Schizosaccharomyces pombe: one gene and its partner. The protein of the gene in region 1 interacts with the protein of each later gene in a biochemical or structural test. Each region holds a gene or a part of one and is shown in the gene's direction. Other genes may lie near its edges.

The links.
Region 2: the proteins of tbc1 (region 1) and alp41 interact in a test that uses a peptide from one of them, tested with the Schizosaccharomyces pombe proteins (one study listed by BioGRID).

The regions. Positions count from the first base shown.
Region 1 is NC_003424.3:3,486,090-3,500,374, reverse strand, and holds tbc1 (tubulin specific chaperone cofactor C Tbc1), read left to right. Parts: upstream 1-5,802; 5' UTR 5,803-6,191; coding exon 6,192-6,222; exon of another isoform or gene 6,223-6,303; coding exon 6,304-6,869; exon of another isoform or gene 6,870-7,100; coding exon 7,101-7,283; 3' UTR 7,284-7,786; downstream 7,787-14,285. Other genes in the region: Sla1 family protein Shd1, read right to left, coding at 1-946, 1,093-1,326; rps502 (40S ribosomal protein uS7), read left to right, coding at 2,989-3,098, 3,387-3,888; odc1 (2-oxoadipate/2-oxoglutarate transporter), read right to left, coding at 4,498-5,328, 5,600-5,665; bsd1 (heavy metal ion homeostasis protein), read left to right, coding at 7,891-7,908, 7,977-8,792; ubiquitin hydrolase Ubp2, read right to left, coding at 9,541-9,606, 9,691-13,050; hrb1 (RNA-binding and mRNA export factor), read right to left, coding at 13,873-14,285.
Region 2 is NC_003424.3:689,372-707,114, forward strand, and holds alp41 (GTP-binding protein involved in beta-tubulin folding Alp41), read left to right. Parts: upstream 1-7,914; 5' UTR 7,915-7,919; coding exon 7,920-7,984; exon of another isoform or gene 7,985-8,029; coding exon 8,030-8,084; exon of another isoform or gene 8,085-8,124; coding exon 8,125-8,197; exon of another isoform or gene 8,198-8,249; coding exon 8,250-8,395; exon of another isoform or gene 8,396-8,433; coding exon 8,434-8,514; intron 8,515-8,556; coding exon 8,557-8,697; coding exon of another isoform or gene 8,698-8,806; 3' UTR 8,807-8,851; coding exon of another isoform or gene 8,852-9,070; 3' UTR 9,071-9,108; coding exon of another isoform or gene 9,109-9,470; 3' UTR 9,471-9,512; coding exon of another isoform or gene 9,513-9,733; 3' UTR 9,734-9,776; coding exon of another isoform or gene 9,777-9,992; 3' UTR 9,993-10,038; coding exon of another isoform or gene 10,039-13,186; 3' UTR 13,187-13,231; coding exon of another isoform or gene 13,232-13,384; 3' UTR 13,385-13,669; downstream 13,670-17,743. Other genes in the region: ATP-dependent RNA helicase Rok1, read left to right, coding at 112-1,557; atp20 (F0-ATPase subunit G), read left to right, coding at 2,159-2,285, 2,335-2,432, 2,482-2,613; mitochondrial aspartyl/glutamyl-tRNA amidotransferase subunit B-related Aim41, read left to right, coding at 3,196-3,354, 3,478-3,690; lon1 (Lon protease), read left to right, coding at 4,460-7,663; mug62 (putative AMP binding enzyme), read right to left, coding at 8,662-8,806, 8,852-9,070, 9,109-9,470, 9,513-9,733, 9,777-9,992, 10,039-13,186, 13,232-13,384; ATP-dependent DNA translocase Rdh54, read left to right, coding at 14,418-14,596, 14,644-14,742, 14,834-14,909, 14,951-15,165, 15,202-15,392, 15,445-15,518, 15,554-15,685, 15,724-15,787 and 7 more; DNA-binding transcription factor Atf31, read right to left, coding at 17,473-17,743.

The DNA.
Region 1 (14,285 bases):
CAAGATCGGTAACGGGCCAAACTTGGGCAGCGTCCATGGTCTTAGTAAAAGTAAGAACAATTGACTTATTGTTGATTGCTAAAATACCAGTGCGTTTCTTTTTCTTGCCAACGACTTCACGGACCTCCCATTTTTCGTAGGCAGGATTACCCATGGAGGAAGAGGAATCGTAGGCTCGAGAATCGTCGTGGGAATCGGTGCGCAATTTGAGATGCTGATTAGGATCTCCATATGCATCTGAAGGCGACGAAGGAGAAGGAGGGGAGTCGTAGGAATGAGCCATAGAAGAGGAAGTGCCAGTAGATCTAGTAGACGCATTAGTTGGGGGTCTTGGCGGCTGACTAGGGGTGGCCGGTGGAGGAGGAATATTAACTTGGGAGCCAAGATTATTCACATTACGGGAAGGCATAGGTAGCTGAGAAGTATTAGTAGATTGGGGTGGAAGTGTTGGAGGTGGTGGTGGGGGAGGAGCCGGAAGAGGATCTGCTTGTTTCGGCGTGTACGTGGGAGGAATCTCAGGAGACACGGCTCTGCCAGAGGAGTAGTAGTCATCTGGCTCGTTGGCGTCTGCCGCCTGATCCTCCACTGCCGGAGGAGGTGGTGGTGGTGGTGGGGGGTTGTAGTCAGAGGGCAAGGAAGTAGCTGGAGCAGCAGCACTCGGCGGTTGAAACGAAGGTGGAGGAGAGACCATGGAGTTGGGAGCGCTCACTGTTGGAGCGTTGACACCAGAAGCAGAGGGTTCCTGAGATGCCGGGGCGCTGGACGCATCCATCCCCTCAACGTAGTTTCTCGGAGCAAGTCCGAAATTATTATTAAAACCAACCAAAATCCAATCTGAATCAGTGTCGCCATAACAGTCTAAAGTTTGGTCCGCTTGAAAGGAGATTTCATCAACGGATTGTTGAGTATAATCATACAAAGCTTTCATTTTTGTTGAGGGTTCAGCCTATACACAAAATGGTTAGCAAGCGGCTTTACAATAACATTATTACTAAATGAGCAAAGACAAGACTCGATCTATTTCTCCTTCACGTATCCTATCGCATCAAACATGTAGAAGACCGTGGTCTCTGTCATTTATTCTACACATACCTCAGTAATATAATTTGAAGGAACGATTCCAATTTCTTCATCGTCATCATTACTGTTTACATTCCGTTTGACGAGATACCAATCGTCTTCACCTTTCTCAAGAAGACAAACAATTTCATCCTCAACGATCGAGATTTCTCGTTCGTTTTCTGGAATCTCTTCACCCGGATTGATTTCTTGCGGTTCATAACTGTACAGCACCTTATAGATGCCTATTATAGGTAAATTTGCCATGGCGACAAATGTAGGTTGTACAGTCTGAGTTGATAAACGATGTAGCCAAGGTGGCTTTACCAGATTGTGTAAATGGTAGTGATGAGCAGTGCAACAAGTTAAAGATCTATAACGATGTAGTCAATAATTTGTTAAATAATCATAACAGTAATATTACCCTATTATTTCATTATGGGTTGTTTTACATGATGCAGCGATTCTCGTTATATCCAAGAAATTTAAAAGGTATACGATTTGAAGAAGAAAGGTTTGTTGCTTTTTAACAAATAAAATAATGCTTAAAGGTATGCAAGTTATTTTCTATGGCCTTCCTACCGCCAACTGGTGTTAGCAACTTGGAACCGAATAGTGAGCTGGCAATTGAAAACTACGAAAAGTAAATGACTCGAAGAACCAAGTGTACAAATTGCTGAGTACAAGACCATGCTTTCCAGATCTATATTCTGATGTACTGTACAAAATCCTCGTACATTGTCATCGAATAAAAGTTGCAAACTGTGAATTCAATAAAAATGAAGAAATAAATTACCTACCTTTTTGCTAGTTTAAATTGTTTGCGAGATTGACAAAAAGTCGAATGTTTTTCGTATCCAATGTGAGCTAAGATTTGTCGCAATGTGAATTGAAATATTAATCACATTATTTGTAAGTAAGCAAAGTAAAGGACCGTTTCAAACTTTTCTTAATTTCTTTAATTTGGCTGCTAATATTGACTACAATAAACTATACTTGGTAGCATTATGTTGTATTACTATCGTCAGTGTGGAGTTTTAGTACCAAAAGGCAACAAAAAAATAATTTTCTAGTATAACAACTGCGATTATGGTGAATTCTTTTTTTTTTCTTTTTAATTAGAAAAAAAAAATTAAAAGATTTCGGTGGTTTAATAGTTCACACTCAATTGGGTGTTTCTAATTGTGCGCTGTCAAATTACATGAAAATATGCTAGTATAATAGGGAAAAAATGGATAACAAGAACCCCAAATTAATTAGGCCGTAATTCAATTTTTTATATCATTTATTCGTTATTAAATTGGAGTTTTTTTTGGGTAACAATAGGTACATCTATACTTACAATTAAAAAAAATAAATAAATAAATAAATGAATTATGCTTAAATTCCAAGAAATTCCATAAACTCTATAGTTATCCTATTCAATGGATATAATATTTTTATTTATTAGTTCAATTTAAATTCAATAAATTGTCTGCTGAAATTTAGACGCATGTTGCTATTGCTTATTCTTTAAGCAAGCAATTATTGCATCAGGAATATAATTAACACTCAGTATTACAAACTAGTATATGAAGTATTACTTATATGCTACAAGTATTCAAATAGTTAATAAAAACAAAACAATATTATGTTAACCTCGATTTGCATGCTTCAGCGATCGACCAAAAATACCAGCATATAGAGTAGAAATGTGAAGATAATATAACATAGAGCGCCTTCTATATAAAACTAAAAATCCTAAATGGTAAAAAATTATACAATTTATTACAATTGAGTTAAATCAACAGTTACTACTTTATTCAACATAACAAACATTATTAAGTATCGACAGATAAACCCTACCCTAATTCATTATTGAACGGTCACAAATGTTCGTGTGGGTTTAGTAGGTACATTGCACAAGCTACCGTCTGAACCACCACAGAAATGGCAGCCTCTATCATCCCTAAAGAAGTTTCCTTGGATGAAACTGGACATATCAAATTGTTCAACAAATTTCCTTTTGAAGGTGTTGAAGTGAAGGATATCTCTTTGGTGTATGTATAAGGTGGGATTGTGTTTTCTAGCTGCTAGTAAACTTTCCAGATTTTGTGCTTGGAATTGTCTGAAATATACAAATTCAATTGTAGTTACTTGGTTTCATGAAAGGGAACTGCTGACAATACGTTACTTGGATATGCTGTTGTAATTTTTTTTTTCAGTCAATTCACTAGTTTTACTTGACCTAAACCTTGGAGCAAATGTGGAAAAAGCAGCTGGAAATTACAAAAGTTTTCATTTACACCAACTTTTCATGTTATTTCAGAATTTCTAACTTTATTTAGTGATTACATTACCATTGGCAATGGTCAACCTCTCCCTCACACCGCTGGTCGTTTCCAGACCAAGAGGTTCCGTAAGGCCCGCTGCTTCATTGTCGAACGTTTGACCAACAGTTTGATGATGAACGGCCGTAACAACGGTAAGAAGCTCTTGGCCACTCGCATTGTCAAGCATGCTTTTGAGATCATTGCTCTCTTGACCGACCAAAACCCTCTCCAAGTTTTGGTTGATGCTGTTGCTGCCTGTGGTCCTCGTGAAGACTCCACTCGTATTGGTAGTGCTGGTACTGTTCGTCGTCAAGCCGTTGATGTTTCTCCTCTTCGTCGTGTCAACCAAGCTCTTGCTCTTATCACCATCGGTGCTCGTGAGGCTGCTTTCCGTAACGTCAAGTCCATTTCTGAATGCTTGGCTGAAGAAATCATCAATGCTGCTAAGGGCTCTTCCAACTCTTACGCCATCAAGAAGAAGGATGAGCTTGAGCGTGTTGCCAAGAGTAACCGTTAAAAGAGCTACGAAAAAATACTACTGGGTCTTCAACTGGATAGTCCATTTAATAAATGTATTTCATTATCTATGATTTTGTTTTTCACACCTTAAAAATAACGACTGTAGTAATCACGTAGAATATAATATTATAAATATACCGAAATGGCTGGGATGCTTGATTGAGTTTTTTCATTTGAAGGAATGAAGACATATAACAAAAATTCTAAAAAGTGTTGAAACAGATTGCGTTGTATAATTACTTATACTAATGATCGCAAATCTAAGAGAAAAACACAACGGTTTTTCGAAGGTCAATGTTTAAATCAATATGTACTCTTCAATCATGAAAGACTTGCTAAATTTAACGATTAACACAGCATCGAAATGATTAACAGGGATGGAAAATATATACATGCAATGTAAACAAAAAAAAGAGAAAATTAAGCCAAAAAACTTTTGATAACAAATATACACGTATTTAGCGATTGCTAAATACGATAAAAGAGCCCACGAATTCAAGTCGTAGGAAACTTTTTTCTTTCAACCTTTACTGAAGACCCGGCAATGAAAAAAATTTTTTTAGGAACCAAAAAAAGGGGGAGAGAAAAACAAAAAAAACCTTGATCTCTAAGCAGAGGCGTTATGTACAAGACATCTCTTGTAAAACTCTATGACAGAATTAAAAACAACCAAAAGAATACCACCACCAGGGCCCAGACGGAGTACTTTAGGGACAAAACCTTTATACAGGGCTGTAAAACCCTCTTCCCTTGCGACTGTAACTAGAGCTGGATAGGCCCAGTTATATTTTGGAACTTGGCCGGCAATACGAGGAACTGTCTGAATACGCGACTTGATAACGTCAAAGGGAGTGCTGAGGAATGTACCAAATATTCCTCCGATAGTTCCAGCAATAAGGTTATTACGGATTTCACCAATTCTGCTCGAGGCAGGCGTCAATGAATTCCGAATCTTTTGAATTACACCAAAATATCCAGCATTCCAAACGACATGGCGCCACATAGTGGCTTCAAACCCATTGTAAAGAGCTAAAATTCTCTCTTGCTTTACAATTTTAGTAAAGCAGTCGACAGTTCCGTTATACTTAGAAGCATTCTTAACGTCTTGCAAACGAATTTTCATCAGTTCGAAAGGTACGACTACGAACGTTTCAGTAAATCCTGCACATGATCCAGTGAGGATAGAAAGTGCAGGACTTGAATCCTTTCTCTTGAAGACTTTACGCCACAGCTTTGAATAAGTATCGTTGGAAGCAAATTTTAATGCACGCTTAGGAGCCTCCATCAAGATTGGAGGTAAAATTCCACGATACAAACGATGTGGACCCTCATTCTTGACGATCTTTTTGAGACAATCAAAGGTTCCATTGTAGTCTGATTTACCAACGGACAGTTGCATACGAGTTTTAACAACATCCAAAGGATACAAAGTTAGGACCTGAAAAAGAAAGAGTTAGTAAACAAGGCCATGTTAAAGGTTTTAATGGTAAAAGAGAGGTAAAGAGAGATTTAAAAAACATGGGATAAAACTTATAAAGAAGTAATTCGTTCAGCATCTACGGAATCAAACGTTTGCTTTCCTTCATCTCCAAGACAGCTCTTTTACCTTACGCAATTCATTGAGCATTTTGAAGATAATAACATTCTTCTCCGAAAGCCTTCAAACGTATCTTTCAATGAAATAAAGTGCTCCAAATAAAAAACCTTACCTCTGAGATTCCAGCAACTGCGCCGGCAGCAAATGTAACAGGAAATGGAATATTATCATGAGGCATTTTCGATAATATAGTAGTTAAACTTCAATTTTCACACTTAACAAATGCTGCTGGGCGTTGTTGTTAAGGAATGGAAGGCAAACATCTGTTGAGCTCACATACAGGTAAATTTAAGATGATTCTCAATGATAAAAGATAAGAGCCGCTAAAAATATTCATAACGATAAAATCGACAAAACTTCGTTTATTTCCAAATCTTAAAGTCATTTTGAGTTGAGTGAAGATAATTTTCATTTCAAGGCACTGTCTTCTGTACTTCGCCTTTGAAGAGTTGGATTTTTGGTTTCAATTTTAAAAATTCATAATAATTTTTGCACCCGAAGTATCGAAGTTAAGATTAAAACTAATACTGATTTGATGAATTTATTTAAGAATCCTTTTTTTCCCGAGCTGTTTGAATGACTTTTGGTGCAGGTTAAAATTGAAAAAATATATGTTTATTGAATGATCATTGAACACAGCATAACGTACTGTGATTTAATTTTGCATATATAACGGGTGTTTTAGTTCTAATTTAAAAGGAAAAATGTCTGAAAAGTTCGTCGAATTGAGAAAAGGTATGGGTTTATTTACATCTGCAATTTCGTTCATATCGAAAGGTCTGTTTGTTGTGCTATTTACTAACTACTTTTTTGTAGAATTTCTTACCAAATTATATAAATCCACTCCTAGTGAGCAGACTTCTCGCTCCGAAAAAGAGACTTGGCTTGAAGAAAAGTCAAAATATTTAGGTGAAATGACGAGGGAGCTAAATGAAGTTCAAGACCAAATTGCACCATATGACAGGAGAGTATGCATGGAACAACTAGTAGATTTGACACGAAGGCTTCAGCAAATTCGACACGACATTTTGCCCAGACAGCCATTTCGCTTTCAACGGGCACTGCACGTCAAATCGTCCCAGAAACCGGTAAAAAATATTACAGTTAATGCTGAAGCTCCAGAAGTTTATTTTGAAAATGACACCCTGTACTTGGCAAATTTGAAAAACCAAAACATTGGAGATAATGTCATTCCATATCCTAACAACAAAGCTGTCAAAGTTTCCGCAAAAAGTTTACGATCATGCAATATTTCCATATCCAACTGCTCATCTGTGAACTTACATAACGCTACAAAATGCAACTTTACTTTCCCAACCATTCAGGGTTCTATCCATCTTTCTGATATTAACGACTCAACAATCTGTGTATCGTGTCACCAAGTAAGTTTTTTTGATAAATTTGAAGGCATCTAGACGATGGTTTTGATGGAAACTATTAGTTAGACGTAGAGACTGCTATCATTATATTAGGTTGTCAATATTTAGATCCCATATTCTTAGTATGGATCACAACAATGCTGTGTAAACAAAATTGATAATGCTTTCTACTGTTTGATTTTACTTTGCCTTCTGGCCCTTCTTTTGATTGATTATATCGCTAACGCCTTCTAGTTTCGTCTTCACCATTCTACCAACCTTCGTGTGCACCTGCGATGCAAAACATCGCCCGTCATTGAAGAATCAAAGGAGATATCCTTTTCTTATAAAGATGAGCATCCTATTTTGGATTTTACTTGGGCACGCTCTGACCCGTCTCCACATTTTCGTATCACTAGTGACCTTTTTGACGCTTAAAATTCTATATGTATGCACCAAAATCATCCATTAGTAAAAATACGTAACGGTTTAGCTTGGTCTTTTACTGACATACACTCGTTGGTGCTTTTTTTTTTTAATTTAATATTCTTTCGTACGCCTTTCTAATCATTCATGTCATCCATCCATCTTACCACCAAGTCGATTATATCAGTAAATCCTTTGAGATTCCTTGTTTCTCATTTTCGACTTTTTATACCACTTCTTGTCGGAATACATATCTGATCACTAATTGTTATAACCCAAGCCATTGATTTCAATTGGCTTGTTTGGTTTATTGAAAAGAATAGATATCAAAAATAATTTATAACGGGAATTTAGCTTCTGATATGTCACCTAAAACACTCAATTCCCATATTTTTTTTTTAATCTGATTTCTCTACAGATTTTGAATATAGTTGTTACTTGCAAGTAACGATCATTAATAATACCATGGTTTCGATCCATCCTGTACTCTTCCACCACTCTGTTAATTTAAAATCAAAGAGCATTTAGTGGGTTAAAAAACAAAAATACGGAAATTTTTGGGAACGTTCATTAATCACTTTACCTCATTATATACGGGTTGAAAGATATCACAATTCCCATGAGTACTAATTCAAATGTAAGGATAAGCCTTCTTTTTATACTGTTTAAATTCCCTGATATATCAGTCTAACAAATCTATTTTAGCAAAATTCAATTCATACTCCAATACCTGAATTTCCGGAAAACCGGTCTACAAATCGATCGGAATTGGCAGCTGCTTTCGAGCCTCCAGACGACGATGTGGAATACAGTGAAACAGCACCTTTATATAGCTCTGCCAGAGCATCAATAGAAGGAGAAGAAGCTTTTTACCAACATTTATCAACGCCGGATCCTGGCAACGACTCTGGGCATGTACGTAGTAGCAATGATCGAATTCCCAGCACTTCATCAAATCATGCAGATGGCCATCACGTTGATAGTGTCTTCTCTAATTTATCTGCTAAACCCACAGTGGAATCTAATACTGAAGAACTGGAAGAGGAGCCCCCTTCTTATGAACAGGCTGCTGCGGATACCGCCCCTCCTTACTGGGATACCACTATGGTAATTCCAGATTACGGATCTAACGAGATTTACATTGATGGGATGTCCGTTGGAACTGGTTTCTCCTTTGTATGGAGTGCTTGTGTCGCTATTCTCTTTCCTTTTGTAGGATTTCTTGTCACATATGTCTTATCGACGACTCATTTGGGTCGTTATGGTGCTCAAATTGGACTTAGTTTAACTCTTTTTCAACGTGGCTACATAATGATTTCGGAGAGTGGGATGGAGAATAACGACGATCAATACAATTACGACGAGTTACCACATCAGAAGCTTATAGGCTCTATTCTCATTATAATCGGGTGGTGCTTGGTACTAGTAGACACCTTTGGGTTCATCAGAATACGCCGTATGAAGAATGCCATTAGTCGGACAGACTCACCTGGTGAAACGTCTCCGGAAGAAGTGGTTTAGTCACGATCTATAGGTTCTTTTAGTTGCGGCCGTATACTTTACAAAATAATCGGCTCCTTACTTTTTCGTTTATGTGTTAAGATTTTATTTCCCTTATAGTTTTCATTTTTTCTTTAAACATGTTCTCTTTTTCTATTTCGGTTTATGGGCGGATGATCCTTGTTTTAAATACCTAGTTTATTAGTTAATCTTGCCCTACCTGATTTTTTTTACGACGCATCATTTTACTTTTCGCTCTCTTTGATGAATAACTTGGCACATTCACGGCACTGTTGATGTATTTTTGTACAAAGCTCGTTCAAATTACCTTAAAACCTGCTATTGATTCTACAGCTACTTTTATGTTTTTTCCATGGTACTTCTATAGTGATTTATTGACTTATTTATTGGAAACTTCTACTAGTTTCATCTATTAATTACATTTTTTGTCAAAGATTACTACTTATAATAAAATTTGCGATAATCGCCATTTTAATAATAAAAGCCGTTTGTTTACATTTCAATTTTTTTGCTAGACTTTTTGCAATTTTGTCATAGAAAAATTTTCTCTTTATAGTAAAGACTAATAGATTATTAACCCGTACCGATGTATAAAGTATAACTAAATTTTTATGTATAAATAGATTTTTGAAATATGAATTCATAGCTTCCATGCTTTAATATCGTGAAAAACGTTACAACTTCCAACCTCCATTCATAGCAATTGATCACGGATGATCCATCCTAGTTTTTACCCTTCACATAGTTTTTAAAGCAGAAGATTGTGTTCACGGTGAACACATTCAATTATGTGTCGATACTCTTTCCTAATGTACTAGATAAATGTTAGCTATATGTAAACTGGAAAAAATTTGAGAAAATGATTATTTCCCTCAAATGGGAAATAATAACGACTTACCGTAAGCATGTAAGGGTTAGCATTGTTGCCCGTAGTATCAGCAAAAATTTCGCTTTCATCTACCACAGTAACATATTCATCATTATATTTTCGATACACATTGTTTTCGAAATCATGAATGTAAGTCCAATAATGACCGAATGAAGCCTGTCCACGATGCACAAATACAGCAAGCAAGTCGTAGCTATGGCTGATGTAATTATCGAAAAGATGCGTCCTTTCTTCTTTTAAGCTGGCTTCCTGTTTTTTAAGCATATCCACTTCAGCGACAACATTGTTTATTTCCTCTTGAAGGATATCAGGAAGTTTTGGATTAATAGGAAGTCTCGAATCCTGCTGCTGTGCAGCCCATTTAGATAGAATAGACAATGTATCAACAGATGACATTAGATTCGAATTTGTAGTTAACAATAGCTGTTGTCGTTTTTGAAGGTTGATAATTTCACGCTTTAGATCCCAGTACCTTTGTAGTAAAGGTGCCATTTTCCCATCAGTATCTTCAACATATCTGTCCATGGAAAGTTCTTTTCCAAATTCAACAAATGCATTAGACTTGAAAGGCTGTCCAGTAGTCCTGTCAAATTGGACACGCTGTATTTGTAATTGCAAAATTATCGGTAGCTCAGTAATACACAAGGATCGTTGGGCAGTTTCGCTTCCCATATCAATATTGACTGTTTCAAAAACACCATCCAATGCATCATACAATGTTTGTTTCTCCTCGAAAAGGTCAACGATCAAGTGAGAAAAAATCTCATAGTTAGACCGTACTCCTTGACTAGCATCATTTAGTGTTTGTTTTAGTTTGCCAGAAAACAAACGTCGTATAAGATCATTATCAGAGCCAAGACGATCTTCTGAGTTGGAAATACGACCAAGTGAAGCTTCCAGTTGAAACAAAACGTGATCAATACATTCCAAGACATCTTGTTGACGACCTAAATCCATGGAGGAGTTTATTTCTTCTTCAGATACTTCAAAGTAATGAGGTTGTGTTTGAGACTCTCCGTTAGTATTGGCCATGGGAAAATCAATTAAATTAACTGATGAAGATTGTTCCGCTGGACTTTTGGCCTCATCCTGTCCTTGTTCTTGTTCAAGCCCTTGAGCTTGCTCTTCTGCTCTGGGGTCAATAGTGATAGATCTCTCATTCAAATTGCTCAACTCTCGAGACGATGACAAATCCATAACCGAGGATGTTCCAGATTTGACCTGGTCCAACGTAAGAGGTATTAAAGCAAGATATGTCAGTACTGAAGAAGGATGAACAGACGATGACTTTGAAGTAATGAGTTCAATAAATAATTTTCGGAGTTCATAAGTGAATTGTAAAGCCCTCAAGAATTCAATTCGAGTAACAATCCGTCCACCAACTTTCTTGACAGCTTCCTTGTTTTCAATCATATTAAGATCTTTGTTTTCATCAATATCCAAAATTGCATTACGAAGAGGTTTTATAATAAAGTAGTATTGGATCAGGGAATTCAAATAACAAAGATTACCAGTATTTTCCAAACCGATCGGAGTATCCAAACTTGAAACTTCTGGTGGAATATCTAGATTTCCATGTTCTAAATAATGAGTGATTAAACGCGAATTCCTAACTTCTCCTATACATTTCAAAGCTGCTCTCAAAGTGTCTGATTGCTCTGGGTGGTCTTCAACAGCAAAGCCGTATACATTGATTAAAACGTCATCTGATAGTGCACGATCTTGAACACCTAATGTGTTGTAAGCTAGATCTTCATCCATAGGCACTTCTTTAGGCTTCTTGTTGGAAGGTCTACCTTGTGAAGCCAAGAAATCGTACAAAATGGAGCTATTTCTCTCTTCAGCTATCCATTTGACGGCCTCGATGGCTTTGTCGCTATCATCTTCAAATTTCACTAAGGCCACAGAAGCTACCATGGCGTCCTCGGTGTTAGACTTAATGCCCAACCATTGGTAGGCTTCATTAACCGTATAAAAAGCCTGTTCTGTAGACAAAACATAATTTAAAATTTCAGAACTCTTTCTTGCATAGCCAATAGTCTCCAAATCGTTCCTAATAGCTCTGGCAAATTCAGGTTTTCTTAGGAGGGCAGAATGAAACGCCTCAAAGATTTTTTCTTGACTATACCTGTAATCCGGGCCTACCTCAGCTTCAAGTCCTAAACTCGAATAAGCGGCTTGTATTACATCGCTCGACACGATTCCATTTTTCCTATCTGCCGCAATTAGATCTCTCAAAAAGCTGCTTTTACGTAAATTGTATATATGAGCAAGCGCATCCGCATAAACACGAACATTAGCTTCATCGTTCTTTTTTTGTTCCTCATAGAAATAACGGACAAAGCTGTCTGGATAATCATTCGTGATACCCAAGGCTATAAAAGCAGGATCATCAGGTAAGGAGGCCGAATTGTCGCGAAAAACTGTGGTATACATGGGAACCACGCTATCATAGTTAGGAACGCCAAAGGCATTAATTAAAGCAGGTCGAGCCAACCTAACGGGAAAAGGGTTAGCAACAATAGCCGGATCTTCTTTAGTGTCACGAAAGTGATTAGCCAAAACAATAAGTTCATTCCTAGCAAGGTATAGATTAAGTTTTTGTTCGTCAGTAAGGGGAGCGTCCGCAATGGTAGGGACATAATTTACATTTTCGTGGTGATATTCAAACAGAAGAGATTTCATCAAAGATTGAATTTGGCGGCCCTTTCCGACATGTCTCTCAAAAGTTCCTTCCGGGGCAGCGCTAATGGCACGTTGATCGTTATGGACCAACACGTTTCGTAAAAACAACTCCAAAGAAGTAAATGTAGTAAAAAGAGAAGGTTGGGATGAATGGGATGACCCTTGATGAGATGACGATTTTTTAGTTAAAAGGGAAGCAAATGATGGACGTCGGGAATCAATTATCTCTTTGATACAATTAGCATCAAGATAGCTATCTCTCCATTCAACTTCAATTTCACTTTTTGTTGTTTTGCTACTCCATTTCATACAAGTAGAGGTAGTAGCGAATTCACTTTTCGTAGGGCTAGTCACATGAGGTTCAGGTAATTCCTCTTCTTCGTAGTAAACAGGAATCCTATCTTTTATTCCATAATTTTCTTCAGGCTCTTCAATTAATGGCTTCCCCCTGTCTCTTCGGACTTTCACATGTAAGTGTTTGCGAGTTTTTTGACAAACACACCAAAAGTCATTCTCGTCAAATACAGCGGACTCGCCTAAATTTGAATGAAGCTGCCAGTGATATCTTGAGCTATGAGGACTCCAAGGATCATTCCATCCAGCTGATGGACTATCAAAGACGTCTAAATCTTGAATCAACCGATTAGGACTTTTGCCAATTCGCAAGTTCTTTACAGTTGCCATTCCTCTTTATAGTTTGATGTAAATAATTTTAATAAAGAAATTTAAATTTTTTATTATGAAAAATACTTGAAAAAACGTCCAAACGGAAAGAACGTACAGATTGAAGGATTTTTCATGAGTAAAGGACTCGGTAGGTAGACTTCATGCGTATGATGCTTGTCGTCTTACATATGCCAGCCAGGTATGCGACCATCAATTTTATGAATGTGGGGAATAAGATAGAAGTAAATGTTTGTATTTCATTGATAAGGCTACTAAAGAAGGTAAGAAACAATCAACACCTACATTTCGCTATACGAAATTTACCATTATGCTTAAATAAGATTTTTAACCTAAATACACCTTACTTTAAAAATAATGTAGTTAATCAATAAAGATTAAACTTGGTTAACTGGAAGTTAACAGAATGGAAGTCTAAAAATCTAAAATATCATTAAAACCATGAAATGGTTAGCAATTGTAAAAGAAGGAAACTAGGCATCCTGTAAAAAAACAGTAAAGCTAAAATTAAAAAGACTTCAATTAGAAGAACGAGAGACGAATATATATGCCATCAGCATACTTTGGTGTGTCACGGAAAAGAATAAGATCTTAGCAAAAAATTGAAATCAAACAAAAGAGATAAATCTATAAACATGGAAAATAAGAATATTTGGGGATTAGGAATTAAAGCAAAAATTTGAAGAAAAAATAGAGAAAAGCAAACAATATTAGGATAACTGCCTTAGAACATTGCGCATGTCGTCACTGAGCTAGCCATTCACACTACGGAAATGTGCTTAATTGTAAAGAGAAAAGAAGTTCAGATGTATTGGCGAATTTTTAAGAAGGCTCCAAAGAATGTTCAATATTATTTTCGGGTAAAGCTACAGAAATAGGAGCAATAGCGGGCATGTTTGCAACGGGCATTGAAATCGGTAGATAGCCTAAGAAAGAATTTGTAAAAGATTGGGGCGTTAGTGGTGAATTCGTTGTAGGGATATGCATAACAGGTGGTGTATAAGCGACTGAAGGAAGACCCGAGAGCACAGTAGGGACAGCAGGTAGTGGAGTCGCATAGTGAGCGTATGATAATTGCAAGGGTCTCCCGCCATAACGATAACCATTTAATTTTTCAATTGAGGATGCTGCATCATTTTCATTCTCAAATTGAACGACACCGAAACCTTTAGATCGGCCAGTGGGCTCATAGGCGATTCGGGCACGAATGACTGAGCCAATATCTGTGAATAGGT
Region 2 (17,743 bases), 2.8 Mb from region 1:
TTAGTCGTGTATATGTATAATTGAAAATTTCAACAATCTTTTATTTTTGTTCCTTCGTTGAAATATCTACTAAAATATTTTAACTTTGATAATTAAGTATTGCATAAGGAAATGGATGCGTTGAAACTTTTGACAACTAATGTCAAATTTAAGAATAAAGTACCTCAACCTTCTATAAAAGAAAAAGAAGCAAAAAAATTACAAGGTATTACTAAGGGAAAAGCTAAAGTTACTGGTAATAATCCTGTTGATCCAATTGAAGAGTTTCCGGAAGGAATACTTTGTGAAAACTTAAAAAAACAAAACATAACAGAATGTACCACAATTCAAAGATATGCCATTCCAACGATAGGTTCTAAACGAGACCTATTGGCATGTGCACCAACTGGTTCTGGAAAAACTATTGCATATCTATTCCCAATTTTGCAAAAACTTCAGTTACATGTTCCGGGTGGATATAGAGCGATTATCGTAGCGCCGACTAGAGAACTGTGCGAGCAAATATATAGACAGGCAGAAAAGCTGTCTTTTGGAACTTCATTGAAGATAATTGAATTAAGTAAATCTAATGAAAAAATTCAAGAAAAAGCGCCCAAGCTCCGGGAAAAGTATGACATGTGCATAGGCACCCCGATGAGATTAGTACAAGCAATACAAACCGGATTGTCCTTTGAAAAAGTAGAATTCTTTGTTATGGATGAAGCTGATAGACTTTTTGAGCCTGGCTTTATTGAACAAACTGATCATATTCTAAGTGCATGCACCAGCTCTAATATTTGTAAAAGCCTTTTTTCCGCTACTATTCCATCACGCGTCGAAGAGTTAGCTAAAGTCGTAACGGTTGATCCGATTCGAATCATCGTTGGTTTGAAAGATGCAGCCACGGATAGCATCGATCAGAGACTCTTGTTTGTTGGTTCGGATACTTCCAAAATTGTGATTTTGCGTCAAATGATTTCAAATGGAGAGTTAAAGCCTCGAGTCGTAATATTTGTTCAAGATATAGAAAGAGCGAAAGCATTGTACACAGAACTCTTATTTGATGAAATTCACGTTGGTGTCATTCATGGAGAATTACCACAAGCCAAGCGCGAAGAAGCACTTGCGAAATTTCGGAAGGGTGAAATTTGGGTTTTAATAGCAACAGATCTTCTTGCTCGTGGTATCGATTTTCATGGTGTAAAGATGGTCATCAACTTTGACTTTCCTCAAAGTGTTCATAGTTATATTCATCGTATCGGTCGAACTGGGCGTGCAGGAAATACAGGACAGGCCGTTACTTTTTTTACAAAGGAAGATGGTGAATATATCAAGCTTATTGCTGGTGTAATGCGTTCATCAGGTTGCGAGGTTCCAAACTGGGTTATGGCACTTCCTAAACCTAGTAAAGAAATGAAAAAGAAGTTGAAGAAGAGTCCTCCTAAAAGAAAGAGGATTACTACTAGAGCTTCTTACGACAGACAAAAGGAACAGCGTAAGAAGGAGTATATTAAGAAGGTAAAAAAAGAAGCCTCTATCAAAAAGCATAATGAAGCTACTGGAGACAGTGGACAATAGATTGTTGCTACTGAAAGTATTTATATAAAGGGTTTTGGGTTTTAGTTTAGTTTTTGTGTTCATTTAAAAAAGTCATATTCACTCCAAAATACTATTGCTTTGATATAATAGAGCCTTATATTTTTTAGCAATCATATTATTTTCTTTTACTTTTATTTGTGGTAAGAAACTTTTATGTTACTGTGGTACCTGACATATCTAACTTTACATCTTTTGTTTAACAATAATGCAGCAAGTGCTGTACGGCTTTTTAAAACTGATAAAAATCTACACGAGTACAATTAATGTAGGCGTAAACAGGTACAAGGAGATTATTTTATTTTAAGTACCCAACAGGGTTTTTGCAATTGTTATTTTAACTACAATTTGAAAGCTATATTACGTTGCTGACACTGTTTTATAATTTCTCGTTTTCGAAATCACGAGTGTGTTTCAGTAAATATTATATTGTTTTAACTTACTTTATATTGTGTATCATTGAAATTACCTATGAACGGAGAAAAATTGGTGTTACTTAATTGGTATATGGGAGTAGAAACTTCATCACAACCTTAACTTACCGAATCCCATCTCTTTCCAATTCAGGCTATTTCGAAGTATAATGTTTTCCACAAGTCGAATTATCTCTCGTATTAATTACAATTTTTTAAGGAAGAGTCACTACTCTACTAAAACAGTTGCTGAACAAGCCAAGGGTCGTTTCACTCCCTTAATCCAAAAATTATCGGGTATTTTAAACATAACGGTTAATTTGTTTAACTAACTTTTTCAATTTAGCTGTACAACAACCTATTATGTACTGGGCAAATGTTTCGAAAGAGCTGGTTCAACAAGTATATCATTCTCAAAAAATTGCACCCCCTTCCAATACTCATGTAAGCAACTATTTGCTACAAAGAACAGATCCACTAATTTCTCTTTTAGTCTCCCTTCCTTTTTTGGAAAAGTCAATCCTCTGAAGCATGGGGCCGCAATTTTTTCATCGCAGTTGAAATAGTTGGTATTTTCTGCGCTGGCCAGATGGTTGGTCGTAGAAAAATTACTCCATATCATTAAAAAGATGAATTTAATCTTTCATAAAAGCTTCTGATTGCTGGATACTTATGCATTTCAACTACTGCGAATTCATTTTGTCTCCAACATACACCAGGCTGTTCAATAAATGAGACTATTAATAACTATCTTTTGTTAACATATTAAGATGAGGTCTTTATAAAGCATTTCTGTTAATAGGGAAACTAAATTATAGGTCTTAGGTAGCAGGACCTAATTGTAGGCGTAAGTGTTATTACCCGGCACTGTATTGCTTGTTTTTCAATTTTGATTTTGAATAACCATTAATTTAATTGTAAAATCTACCGAAAGCAAATGTCTCATTTTCGCAATCAATCTTAAAATCAGTTTGTACTAATAAATAAATATTGCTAAATTGATGGAGTTACCTCACTGTCAATGAGCGATTTCGCATATTTTAGTTTCCACATCTCCAAACAAAATGGGATAATCCTACTACCAAATACTTTCTGCGCTACACCACCTTTAGGGGAATTTTTGGGTCTGACCTGAAAACATAATCCAAGAAAAAGAATTCAATGTTTAATCAACGCTTAGTACACACATCAAGGATAGCTATTCGTAATGTACAATACTTACGCTATAATAGTACATGTAAGCAAACTTAGGAATAGTCATTTATTTGCTAACGCTTCAGCAATCCCAAATCTTCAAGCAGTTATTCGTAAAAAATTGCTGGATTCCATGAAATCTAGGCAAAAAGATGTTGCGTCTACTTTAAAAGTACGTTGGAAATAAAACGTGACGGTCTACATGTTAAATTGCATCAGTGTTCAAGCAATGTGAAGAGGCTGTCAGAACTATGTTATCTATGTTTGTAGATGAATATGACGCTAACAAGCTTAGGTATTTCTCTCGGAAATCGAATATGCAAACAAGTCGAGTAAGCCAGTTACTACAGACTTAGACGTTCTGCGAGTACTTAAAAAAAACATAAAAAAGCGTAAACAAGCTATTGAACAGTTTCGCAAGGCTGAGCGTCTTGATCTAGCGGAAAAAGAAGAATCTCAGATTCAAACTTTACGACAATTCCTACCTGAACATGCTAGTAATATTTAAAAATCTGTAAAAAGAATACAATCTAGTCATTTAATAAGTCTCTATCCTTCAATGCTTTATCAGCTTACCCTCGAATTTAAAAATATCTTGACTTAAATAACTCAACGTTCTTAATGTGTGCAAGCCACGCTACTAAAGACAGTTTCTTTTGGTTTTTTAATAACAATGTTATACTACGCAGCAATATGACACGATTGATTCTGCAACGTATCATTACATATCCTGTAAATGCTATGCGCTCTTTCAATGTTTTGAATTGAACAGCTAAGACTTATGTAATGAGAAGCTTTCTGAGTTTTTTTACACTGATTCAATTTATGCATGTGAGTTTCCATTCATACAATTAAATTAAACAATCGTCGCTGTTTTCAGCTCTTAACAGCATTATCTTATTATTAGTAATGAAATTTTGGTTAAAATTTGATAAGCGATCGGTATCTTAATTATTTAAAATAAAAGTTAATGCGGTAAAGTAAGTGAAACTATTGCAACGCTTCGATATCTCATCTGTTGAACTATTTGAAGCCGAAAAAATTGGAAACTTTAATTTTTTTCCTTTATAATGAGTATTGTATTAAATGCTTGAATGGTTTATTTAATAGCATTGGAGGTTGGAGGCAAGTAAGCCAATTCCCTCTTTGCGCTCATTATGTGACGGCGACTTACCAGCTAACTCAGCAATTACCAACTACCTTTAAATACGCCAGAAAATTAATAATAGCCCGAAACGTTCTTTGTGCCAGTTTGTAATTTAAATTCGTACAGGCCCATGATTACACGTTTATCGGGCGCTTGCTTGAGGCGATCAGGTGCTAAAAGAAATTGGCCTCGTGAACATTTGGTTCATCGGTCTTTGCTTGCTAGTTTTTCCACTACACAGAGGGTTTTAAAATGCTCAGTCGGACCTTTTCGTACTTCAAATGTTGTTTTCAAAAGTAAAGAACCAAAAGATAACAAACCACTGGATAACAAAAACGATCCCAAAAAGACACATAATGAAGATGAGTCACATACCAACGAATCTTTGCCATCTACGGATAAAAAGAAAAAAAAGGATAATGACGATTTTAAGCAAAATTTGAAATCTTCTTCAAATAAGACTGAGGAAAAGTATTCTGCTACACAAGCTTCTAAGTCTAAAAATGACGAATTTGAATTAGGTGGTGAAGAAAATGAGGATGAAATGCCTTTAAATGGGGAATTTAATAAAAATGTTCCGGCCAAATATTCGGTTCCTGATGTGTATCCTCAATTACTTGCGTTACCCATTGCGCGACGACCTCTTTTCCCTGGTTTTTATAAAGCCATAGTTACCAAAAATCCCTCTGTTTCAGAGGCCATTAAAGAACTGATTAAAAAGAGACAACCTTATATCGGCGCGTTTTTGTTGAAGGATGAAAACACTGATACCGATGTTATAACGAACATTGATCAGGTTTACCCGGTCGGTGTTTTCGCTCAAATCACCAGTATTTTTCCAGCAAAAAGTGGTAGTGAACCTGCATTGACTGCTGTTTTATACCCTCACCGTAGGATACGAATAACTGAACTGATACCTCCAAAAGAGGATGCTGATAGCGCTGCTTCTTCAGACGCAGCAGAACTTGAAACCGATAAAAGCTCTAATCTTTCTTCCAATGGAGAAGTTAAGTCTGATCTCAAACAAGACAATGGGAAAGAGGAACCTGAAAAGGAAGTTGAAAGCACACCCTCAATTCTTCAAAACTTTAAAGTCTCTCTTGTTAATGTCGAAAACGTTCCTAATGAACCTTTTAAACGACAGGATCCTGTAATTAAGGCGGTAACGTCTGAGATTATGAATGTTTTCAAAGATATTGCAAACGTTAGTCCCCTCTTTCGTGAACAAATTGCCAATTTTTCAATATCGCAAACGTCTGGCAATGTTTTTGATGAACCTGCTAAATTGGCAGATTTTGCTGCCGCTGTTTCGGCTGCAGATCATCGCGAATTACAGGAGGTTTTAGAAGCTACAAATATAGGAGATCGTTTGCAAAAGGCTTTGTATGTACTAAAAAAGGAACTATTGAATGCCCAACTTCAGCATAAAATTAACAAGGAAATTGAGCAGAAGATAACTCAACGCCATAAAGAATATCTTTTAACCGAACAGCTAAAGCAAATTAAAAGAGAACTTGGACAAGAACTTGATAGCAAAGAAGCATTAGTAACTGAGTTCAAGAAACGAACTGAAAGCTTGAGTATGCCTGATCACGTGAAAAAGGTTTTCAATGATGAACTGTCCAAATTTCAGCATTTAGAACCAATGGCTGCTGAATTTAACATTACTCGTAATTATTTGGACTGGATAACCCAACTTCCTTGGGGAAAGAGGTCTGTTGAAAATTTCGATTTAGATCATGCAAAGGAAGTCCTTGATCGAGATCATTATGGGCTTAAAGATGTTAAGGATCGTGTTCTTGAGTTAGTAGCTGTAGGTAAGCTAAGAGGAACTATGCAAGGAAAGATTATGTGTTTAGTTGGTCCGCCAGGTGTCGGTAAGACTTCTGTTGGAAAATCTATTGCATCTGCCTTAAACAGGGAATTCTTTCGCTTCAGTGTGGGCGGTCTGACTGATGTCGCTGAAATCAAAGGACATCGTCGTACCTATATCGGAGCAATGCCTGGAAAAATTGTGCAAGCTTTGAAAAAGGTGCAAACTGAGAACCCTTTGATTCTTATTGATGAAATAGACAAAGTGGGCAAAAGTCATCAAGGGGATCCTGCGAGTGCACTTTTAGAGCTTTTAGATTCAGAACAGAACTCAGCTTTCCTAGATTACTATATGGATATTCCACTCGATGTTTCATCTGTTTTATTTGTCTGCACGGCGAACACCATTGATACTATTCCTCCACCTTTGTTGGATCGTATGGAGGTTATTGAACTATCTGGATATGTTTCAGCTGAAAAAGTTAACATTGCTAAAGGTTATCTTATACCCCAAGCCAAAGCTGCTTGTGGTTTAAAGGATGCTAATGTGAATATCAGTGATGACGCTATTAAGGGTTTAATTAGTTACTATGCTCATGAAAGCGGTGTACGAAATTTGAAAAAATCTATTGAGAAAATATTTCGTAAAACATCTTTTAGTATTGTTAAAGAAATTGACGATGAATTAAATTCTAAAGAGAAGTCTACGGGTAAGTCGGGAAAGAAAACATCTCCTCAATCATCAGAAGATGCAGCAAACAAAGAAGCATCATCTGTTCCGTTAAAAGTTCCCGATAAAGTTAATATCGAGATTGAAGAAAAGGACTTGACTAAATATTTGGGTCCCCCCATTTATACTTCTCAGCGACTTTATGACACTACTCCTCCTGGTGTTGTCATGGGACTTGGTTGGACACCCATGGGAGGTGTTTCGATGTATGTAGAAACTATTGTTAAAAACATTTTATCATCCAATTCTACTCCCTCTTTGGAAAGGACGGGGCAACTGGGAGATGTGATGAAAGAGTCATCTGAAATTTCGTATTCCTTTTCAAAAAGCTTTTTGTCTAAGCATTTTCCAAATAATAAATTTTTTGAACATGCGCGTTTGCATATGCATTGTCCCGAAGGCTCCATTTCTAAGGATGGCCCATCAGCAGGTATCACAATGGCTACATCTTTACTTTCTTTAGCATTGGATACTCCGGTACCAGCGACTACTGCCATGACTGGTGAGCTAACCTTGACCGGTAAAATTTTACGCATTGGTGGCTTACGAGAAAAGACGGTTGCTGCCAAATTATCTGGTATGAAAGAAATACTATTTCCAAAAAGTAACTTAGCCGATTGGGAACAACTTCCTGATTATGTTAAAGAAGGTTTAACTGGTGTCCCTGTTGCATGGTATGATGATGTTTTTAAACGGGTTTTTTCAAACATTGATGCCGAAAAATGCAACAATCTTTGGCCAAATTTAATAAAGTCATCCTCCAAGCAGCATCAAATTTCACCCAGTCATTAACATTCTCCTATTAGAAGGATACTACCTTTATGAAGAAATTATCTAAATTCATTATGTAATAGATATAGTTAATAACGATTTATGTATTGTGCTATATTTAAAAGACAACATGTAGTTTGAATTTATTCTGTTCAATCGTTCGTAAAACAGTAATATCTTTCTATAAAGTTGATAGCTTAAGCCCTTGTTGAGTAACGCAATGCAAGGCAAATTCATCGCATATTTTCTTATTTCTTGGTTACTCTACTATTGAGAAATGGGATTATTGACTATTTTGAGACAGCAAAAGCTAAAGGAACGAGAAGTCAGGGTTTTGTTACTGTAAGATGATTCAAATATATACAGAGTGAAATCTAATGACTTTAGGGGGTTGGATAATGCAGGTAAAACGACAATTTTGAAGTGCCTGTTGAACGAGGATGTAAGTATCTTTTAAGGCTCCATAATTTATCGATTGATAGGTAAATGAAGTTTCGCCTACCTTTGGCTTTCAAATTCGAACGCTTGAAGTAGAAGGACTCCGATTCACGATATGTACGTAGCTTGCAATTTTCGAAATGAACAGTCTTAAGCTTACTAATTCAAGGGGACATTGGGGGGCAGAAAACGCTAAGAAATTTTTGGAAAAATTACTTTGAATCAACCGAAGCAATTATTTGGGTTGTTGACAGCTTGGATGATTTACGTTTAGAAGAATGCAGAAATACATTACAAGAATTGTTGGTAGAAGAGGTAGGCTGAAAATGTGAATTATCTTAACATGCATATAGAAACTTTTGTTTACTTCAATTTTGGTTCTCGCTAATAAGTCTGACGTTTCCGGCGCACTTTCATCCGAAGAAATTAGCAAAGTCAGTTTACAATTTATGAATCCAAGCTAACAACAAGTCAAGATATTAAATATTTCTAAATATAAATCATCGCATTGGCGGATTTTTTCGGTTTCAGCATTAACGGGCCTTAATATCAAAGACGCGATAAGCTGGCTTGCTAATGATCTAAAGGAGATTAAGTTGGGAACTATTGATTATTAAGTTTTCATCCGAGTAATCGTAAGAATCGGTTGTTCCAATCAACTCAGTACCTACAAAATCTTCGTTGAGAAGAAAGTCCTGTCGAATTAAATAGCTTGTCATGTGTTTCCTAAAATATTGTTATTTAGGCTTCTCATTAATAAAGATCACTTACAGGTCTCCTCCAGTCCATTGTTTTAGGATGTCTGCTCTCCTTTTCTCACCAGTTGGACGACGCAAAAATGTTCCTTTCGGTACGAAGGCAACACAATCAAGTATGATTTCATGTGCTGCCAAAGCCGTAGCAACAATAATTGGTATTAGGCTAGCGAATTTTTGCTGACTATGTACTTCCAGAAGAATTACTACGGATCCTGACGCTTGAAATAATATGCTGTGACATTAGCCTCTATAGTTTGTGATGCTACTTACCACCCATCTGTGCAAATGTTGGGATGCACTAATTCGATTGTTTCTTCAATATCCTTTACGGAATGGTTAAGCCCGTTTAATTCGAGCGTATTCCATATGAAATCTAAAGTATATAAAACTGGAACTTTTTCCATATTCTGGTCTTTTTTCTTCAAATGATGAATGAAACCTAACTGCCCTGTTCTCGAATAGCTCTTTTTATCTAATGTCTCTTGCACTAGAAGCTCGCATCCAGAGTTGAGTTCGTTGTTTTCACAATATGAGCCGTGCTTTCCGTTAATCCAAATTTCTCCAATTTCTCCTTCTTGACATATGTATTTTTCTTCAGGGTGAACTATGCATATTTCATTGTATAATGTGCTCTATATTAATTAGTAAATTGCTGCCTAATACTTTTCACGTACAGTTCCGGACCCATAAAGGAGTGGTTGTCTGTTTCTTAGGACATCCTCTCTTACGTTTACGAGACCGCTTCTTAGCTGATTGGCATCAAAGTAATCCTTCATTTTTTCCATGCTCGAATCCGCATTCCAACAAACGAAAGGATTGATCGGATGAGAGTATGCCAATTTTACCTTGTTGGGAGCTAGTCCAATTCTGGCGATATCTTCAATTATACTATTAACTAGGTCTTGTTAGTAAATGCGTCTTTCTGTTTTCCTACTTACCTCTAGAACTTATTGGTCTGTCGTAGCAAGGCACAATAATGCTTGACAAAGTGGAGTTAATAACAATGCTATTACAACCTTGAGCTGTTGAAAAGCTTTTCTGACAAATGTTAAGTGGAATCATAACCTTTGATAAAGAGTTTTGCTCGATAGCCTCAAAAAGCAGGCTACCATTGTTACATAAGTTTTCTTGTTTTATCAATAAAGTTGGTACTCCTATAATATGCGTTAATTATTTTTTTCACATTTTGAAAATATTTACCTGCATATACTCCAAGCAAGGCAGTATGCAATAGGCCCATTCCACTTGAGAATTCAATCCCACCAATGATTGGTTTTTCTTCATTTCCAATTACAAATTCTTTTTGTTCATGGCAAAATGCCAGAAGACTAGAATGAGAAAATTGCGTTGGGATGATGGAACCATCTTCCAGCTTATTAATACTAATTAGCGCGACTTTCCCTTTATTATTCAATTCCCCCGGGGTTATTAGATTCAATGCTTTTTTTGCACGTTTTGAAATGGGGATTCCAGTAGTTTCAAATATTTTGGGTGCCTTCATGTTGAGGTCAATGCAAGTTTGTTGAAAGTGATTTGAAATATCCCTGGATTTTAAAGATATAAGAACTTTATGATCAACAAGGATTGCTTCCACATTGAAGGCCTTTGCAATTTTTGTGAATTCTTCTATTTCCCCAATCAATTGTGATATTTCACGAATTTGAAACGGTATTGGTATCACCCCTAGGTGAAAGCAGCTATGTATGCTGATCAAAAACTCTAATGGGTCGTAATAAAGAAGTAAAATATGTGATCTTGCTTTAGCTTTAACTGATAACTGCATATATTCAACATGAGATGCAACTTTCAGCTCAAAATGGGCCCAAGTCAACTCTACTTTTGTTTTTTCGATAGCATTAAAGGTTAATATGGCAGGTGAAGTTGGTGTCTTTGCAGATTTGGTTTTTAAAAAGTCAAGGATAGTAAAGTGATTAAGCAGATTTTCTCGTGCTTTACTAACTTTGTTTTGATGCTTGTACGGATCCATCTTTTGTTTAACATTTAAAGAGATAATCTCTCTATGATGTTTGGAGGCATCTTTTGACCAAATTCCTTTTGAATTGTTTAAATTAATTTTAGATTTTGGTAATGCTGAATCCATGAAAAACCTAACATAGGATACAGGAAGATTTCCTGACAAAAAGGCCAGTTTACACTTATTCGTGTTGATTGCTTGGATTCCCATATACCTGGATCGAGGTAATGATTTGTAAGGAGCAATAAGTATGCTTAGGACATCTAATTTGAATATGTCTTGAGTGACTTGGAAGCTGCTCTCTGTTATTTTTACCAACTCTGAGAACAAATCTCTTCCTTTAAGCCGATTATTTCGAATTAACGAACGCTTAATAATTGGACTTTCAAGTACTAAAACGGAGTAAACTGCTTTGTCGATTTCTATTTCAAAGGCGACACCATCAAAAATTTCGGGAACATATTTCATGATTTTTTTAATCAAGTAATGAGAATAGTGTACATATTTTTCTTCCATTAACTTATCAGCGACCATTGTTTTCCGATATTGCCTGATTTGTTCATCTTTGTTTCCAAGAACAAAAATCTTTTCGTTATGCAAAAATCCTTTTAGACCACTATCCATGAATGAGTTATTCTTTTCAAATTTATTTTCTTGGTTGTTTTCGTAATCAGTTAATTGTTCCCCTTGTGGGTTGTTAATCACGCTAGCAGCTTTCAACTTAGGAAGACAATCAGAATAAACCCAAATTTCTCCAACTTCACCAACTTTGCATATATTCTTCGAATCTTCATTAACAACTGCCACTGATGCCTCAGGGATTGGATACCAAAAGGGAGACATGCAAAGGACTTCGTTAGGAGAATATTTTCGGATATCTAGAAATGGAACAATTTCCACTTTTTCCTTTTCTATTGAACTCTTTAATACCAAGATCTCTTGATAACAAGTATCGGCCATTTGCCGTTCATGTTTCTGTCTGTTGGTGTAACTGATCATCCAGTCTTTGAATGAAATAGGTATTCCACCAAACTTTCGCAAACATAATATCGGAGTGATTACCTCTTTGGAATTATTGGTACCTAAAGGTTGCAACCACCTATCTGAGACTATAATGTTGAATTCCGGGTCTACTACTTCGCATTCAACCATACACAACTTCAAGGACGAAAGGTTCGGTGTATAATTTTTTTTAAATGAAAGTGTAGATTTAGGATCCTCCTGATAATTGTACACTGTCTGCTTCAGTCCAGCATAATCAAACAAACTGTATGTACATCGATATTTAGTAATTAAATATGCTAATAAACCTGGCGTTTTTAGTACTTCTTCATCACAAAAGATGGTACAATATCCTGCAAACACAGAGTTGAATACCCCCATGATCAATCCTAATGGCATAGATGGATGGAAATTGGTAATGAGAACATCTTTCGAATCCTCAAAATTATGGAGCTTCCATCCAGCTTGACGAGCTGGATTGGTTATCATGGACGATGTCAGATTTCTCATCTGACTTAAAAATGTTTTCGTGGTATAAACAGCCTTAATATCATTATAGGTCGAGGAGCTGAACGTGTAATCAATGAGAACTGTGTCATTCGCACGCATCCGATACTGTTTGATTTGTTCAAATTTGTAGTTTGTAAAGTCGTTTGATTTCCACCATGCAAGGCTTTTTGCATTATTCACCTCTGTATCTTTTATGAAGATACGATAAGTAGCCTCTGTAGTAAATGCGACACGAACTTTTTCTTCATTGACAACCAACTTGAGACTTTCTGAAGATGAGGAAGGACTCAAAGGAATTACTACTATTCCAAGCAACAAACAGCCAAAGATACTAATAATATATTCTGAAGCTTCCGATTTTCGATAATATAAAATTACTCTGGTTCCAGGTTTAAGTCCAACGTGATTTTGCGCAACAGACGCAAATTGTTTAGCTCTATTCAGGATTTTATCCCAACTGTAACTCACAGCTTCTTTCCCTTTTTTATCGATACAAATATGAGCAGTAGAAGTTGGATTTTTATTTCTTCGATACTCAAGGACAGATATAATATCCTGCAGCGCCATCATTGAAAATGTTGGATTTCGTGGATCATTAATTTCAAATCTGGCTCTACGTGGAACTGTGAATTGTAGTTTTTCAGCTGCTGTGGCAGTTGATATATCTGCAAACAGCTTCTGAGATACTTTGGCCAATTGTGGTTGCAGCTCTGCATCCCTTGCTCTTTTCACATATTTTAACACTGGGTCTGGTATTGTCTCAAAAGGCAACTTGCTTTTATCTTCATATTTCGAATGCCTTACGGGATGGATTTTTTCGTTTTCTGAAGGTTTCATAAATCTCAGCACAGTATGACTATCCTTGAAATTTTTGCATTTAGTAATTTTTTTTTATATTACTCTTACCGTTTCACTTTTATAATAGACATCGTTTGCTTTCAGCATATGCGCATCTGTTCGAAGGGCTGAACCAGCAGAACCAATTTCAGATATAACATCCTCTTCTATGTCATGCAGTTTTGTCTTCTTATTGAAGTTGAAAAATGATTTTAGACTCATTTTATGGCTCACGTTCGCATACAGTTAGGAATTGAGGATTCCAAAGCTTGTATGAGAAATGTAAACAAATCGCTTATGTTACCTGTTACCTGATTGACTTCACTAAGGATAAACAATAACATTGAATGAAGTAAAAGTGTACTAAGTTTACAAATCCTAATTCAATTTAAAAATTTAGAAAGACTATGCTCTATCCCTGTTCCCCATCATTATTCATTTATGTGCGCAATTAATTTTACAAAATTAACAGTAAATACCAATCTTTTTTATACATATTAGAACGCAAAAAGTTGGATTGTATCAGCTTTTCGAAAAAAGATGCATCTACCAGGGATCGAACCTGGGACCGTCTGCGTGTAAAGCAGAAATCATAACCACTAGACTACAGATGCAACATACAACTAACAGTACTAATTAATATAATTTATTAACTAAGAAACCTGTCTTTACTAATAACGATTGAGAAAAAAGTGATAACAACAGGCTAAGCATTATGCGCTAACTTTGTTTAATTAAAAGTAAACATTCGCAAATTTTGTTGATAACAATGGACAAATTTAGTTGAATACCCCCATATTCATCGCTGTTTATTCTACCTTTCAGAAACTGTTCTTGTTAGTCAAAAGAAACAATACCTGAATAGAAACATTTTGCGGGAATTCATTCTTGCAAATTGTAGATAATTTATTTAATTTAAAACATTTTACGCTATAAATTTAATGATAAGTTACAAATTGCCGCCTTTTTTGCTTTAACATGATGAAAGTTAATTAGTAATAAAAAAAATTATATGAACAGAAGCAAGAGACCTTAATTTAGTACGTGTGATACTATTAATGTTTATTACGTTCAAAATGATGATTGTACCTAGAAGTGCAAAATATTACTAACCGATTTTTACGCGCATGCTTCAGAACTGCTTGCATTTGTCTAACTTGAACACCACACGTTCGGTCTCATAGTATTGTTGAGTAAATAAACACAGTTACCAAAGAGAATTGAAACCTTACTTTATTAAAACTGAAATCTGAACATGAAACGAAGAGCTACTTTTCAATGTCCATTAATTGAATCTACCATAAAACATCAATCTACTAATTATACCAAAACAGAAACAGCAACTACCTCACACGAAGTATCTGAAAATGCAAATGAACATAAAGGAAAATCAAATATCGACATAAACAAAATTGCTTATTACAATGTTGTATGGTATGGTAGCACAATCTCTTTTTTGACTTCATGACTAAACGCGTCAGGAGAAAAATTACTATGAAGAAACATAAAACATGGGAAGGGGATGGCTTTCTCGTTAGAGAAGACTCAAATTTGACTCTTTATAATTCAGATTTTACAAGGTATTCCTACATGTCGAACTTACTAAAAATGAAGTCGCAAACAATATAGCATCTTTTATTGAGAGATATTTTTTATTAATATATGTTAAAGACTCGGATCCTGTCATTCGAGGGTGCCACAAATCAAAGAAGGAGAATTGCTTCGCATTTCCGGGAAAGAAATATCTGTAAGATATACATGTAAGCGAATGTTTCTCATCATCTTTAGATTGAGAAGGAAATCTCTGCAGAAAGTTATGAAGCAGGCACACATATAGATGATTCTCTCCGAGACGTTCATATGCCTGAAATGAAGCGTAAATTCAAGCCACCTTTGAGACCTAACACAATGTACCAGACAATATCAGCACTACCCAAACCGAGGCATGATCCTACTGTGCTTGGAGCTTTGGTGATGAGCAGGCCCAAGACTTGGGATCCAAGGTATGGTAAAAGTGAATGCTTGATCTAACATTACAGGACGCATGTAGATGTTGTTATTGATCCTTTCCTTTCAAAGCATCTTTATTCTCATCAGCGGGAAGGAGTTTCCTTTCTTTACGACTGTTTATTAGGAATGGAAGGAAAATGTGGATATAGTGCAATTTTGGCTGATGAAATGGGCTTAGGAAAAACGTTGCAAACTATAACAGTTGTCTGGACTTTATTGAGTATGAGACTTAGGGTTTTTTTTAACTTTCATTCTCTAATCTTATTATTTAGAGCAGTCTTATTACGCCAATCGTTCTTCGACTATAAACAATGCAATGGTCGTAGCACCTGTCACTCTTTTGAAGGTAAGAAGTTTCAAAACTTCATTACTAATGGCTAGAATTGGGAAAATGAGTTTTATAATTGGCTCGGTCACGAGCGTATTCATGTTTATATAGCTAGATGCGCTGAAGATTTCCAAGAATTTACGTCGAACAAAACTTATTCGATTATCATTACAGGATATGAAACGGTAATTCCTTTATTTATTCTTTTTTCTAATTGCTAAAGGTTTGTACGTACTTGAGAAACTATGGATGCGGGATTGATATTGATCTTCTAATTTGCGACGAAGGTATTGATTTGTTCATAAATAGTTTATTAATCTTAGCTCACCGCTTGAAGTCCATGAGTAGTCAGACTTGGATTACGCTGAATAAGCTAAAAACTAGAAAGAGGCTTCTTCTCACTGGTACGCCTTTACAAAACGGTATGAATCAGTGAATGCTATTTAATTTTAACCGCTCAGATTTGTCAGAATATTTCTCTATGGTTAACTTTATAATTCCTGGATCTCTGGGGACCCCAAATTCTTTTAAAGCTCAGTATGAGCGGCCTATATTAAGGAGTAGATCAATGAATGCTTCCTCTAGGGACATATCATTGGGAGCTGCAAGACTTCAAAGGGTTTGTTTACTAAAGATAAATTTTATACTGATTTTTAGCTTTTTGAATTTACAAGCAATTTCACGTTAAGGAGGAAAGCCAATATACTGGCTAAACATTTACCGCCAAGAAGTATGCAAATATTAAAATCAGTATTAACATAATAGCCGACATTGTTTTATTCATAAAACCAACACATCAACAAGAGAATGTTTATGGACATGTTCTCGATGGTTTCAAGTCAAGCGTTGATCAGAAGGGCTATTATCTTAAAATTTTGACTCGCTTGAGCAAGATATGCAATAGCACCATTTTATTGAGAAATGAAAAGGAAAATTTTTTGTCAACGGAGTTGCAAGATAAGCATGTATTCGAGCAAGAGAATATGTTGCTCTCCTCTAGCAAACTGCAAATATTGGCTGCGCTACTTAAAAGTTTCCAAAGGGGTTGCCAAAAAGCTGTTATTGTGTCCCAATATAAAGAAACTCTCGAGTTGATTGAATTGTTTTTATCAATTTTGCATGTCCGTTTCTGTAAATTGCTTGGAAGTACTCCTTTCTCTGAGCGTGATTTAATAGTACACAATTTCAATACTTCCAGCTTCAAAGAATTTAGTGTGCTTTTACTTTCAAGCAAAGCTGGTGGCTGCGGTTTAAATCTTACCGGATCCACTAGGTTAATAATTTACGAACCAAGTTGGAACCCTGCCCAAGATTTGCAAGCATTGTCAAGGATATATAGAAGCGGGCAAAAGCGGCCAGTCTGTATATACACATTTTTAAGGTACGACCGCTTTTACGAATAACATATTAAGTTATGCAGCAGTGGAATGCTAGATGAGCGCATTTTTATTCGCCAAAATACTAAGCAAGGGCTTTCAAGTTCGTTCATAGTATGTGATTTATTATAAAATTTTATACTGACTTGATTGTAGGATTCCGATGCAAGCCAAAAGAAGAATTTTTTTACGGGTGAAGACATCAAGACACTTTTTTCATATTCAAAAACTGAAACTTGCTTGACATATGAATTAGCATTTGATTCTGATGAAATTGATTCATTAACAAAGAAAAAAGATCCGTTAACTAAAATTGACCATACGATTGATTCCCCAAATACGAAGGAAAAAGATAAAGAAATCAGTTCTTGGAAAAAGGCTTCTGAATATATGGATACTAATTTGGTAAGTTGTATTTTCATCCTAATATTAATGGCCAGGGGAAAAAGTGTCCAGAGAACGCATTTCAAGGATGGACTTGGCAATTTCCGAATGACCTAAGTATTATGAATGGCGTAGAAGATTATATCCCTCTTGAGCCTTTACCTATCAACTGTCTAATGCATAAAAAGTTCGAATAGATCTATTTCGGACTTTTAAGGAGGCGTAAGCGGTTTTTCCTTGCCCATTAGAAACAACGCTTTTGAGCAAGCCTTCGATACTGGGCAATCTCTATGAGCAAACACCAAGGTTCTCAGTTTAATTATTTCTTCTCTTAAATCATTAGCACTTTGCAAAAGCTCCTTGTTTTCAGAAGTGTAGTAGTTGACTTGGTCTTGTAATGTTTGTAAGTACTTTTTCTTTTTTATCCTACACTTTTGGGCAGCTTGTCTGTTTCTGGCTTTCAACATTGACTGCTTAGTTCCA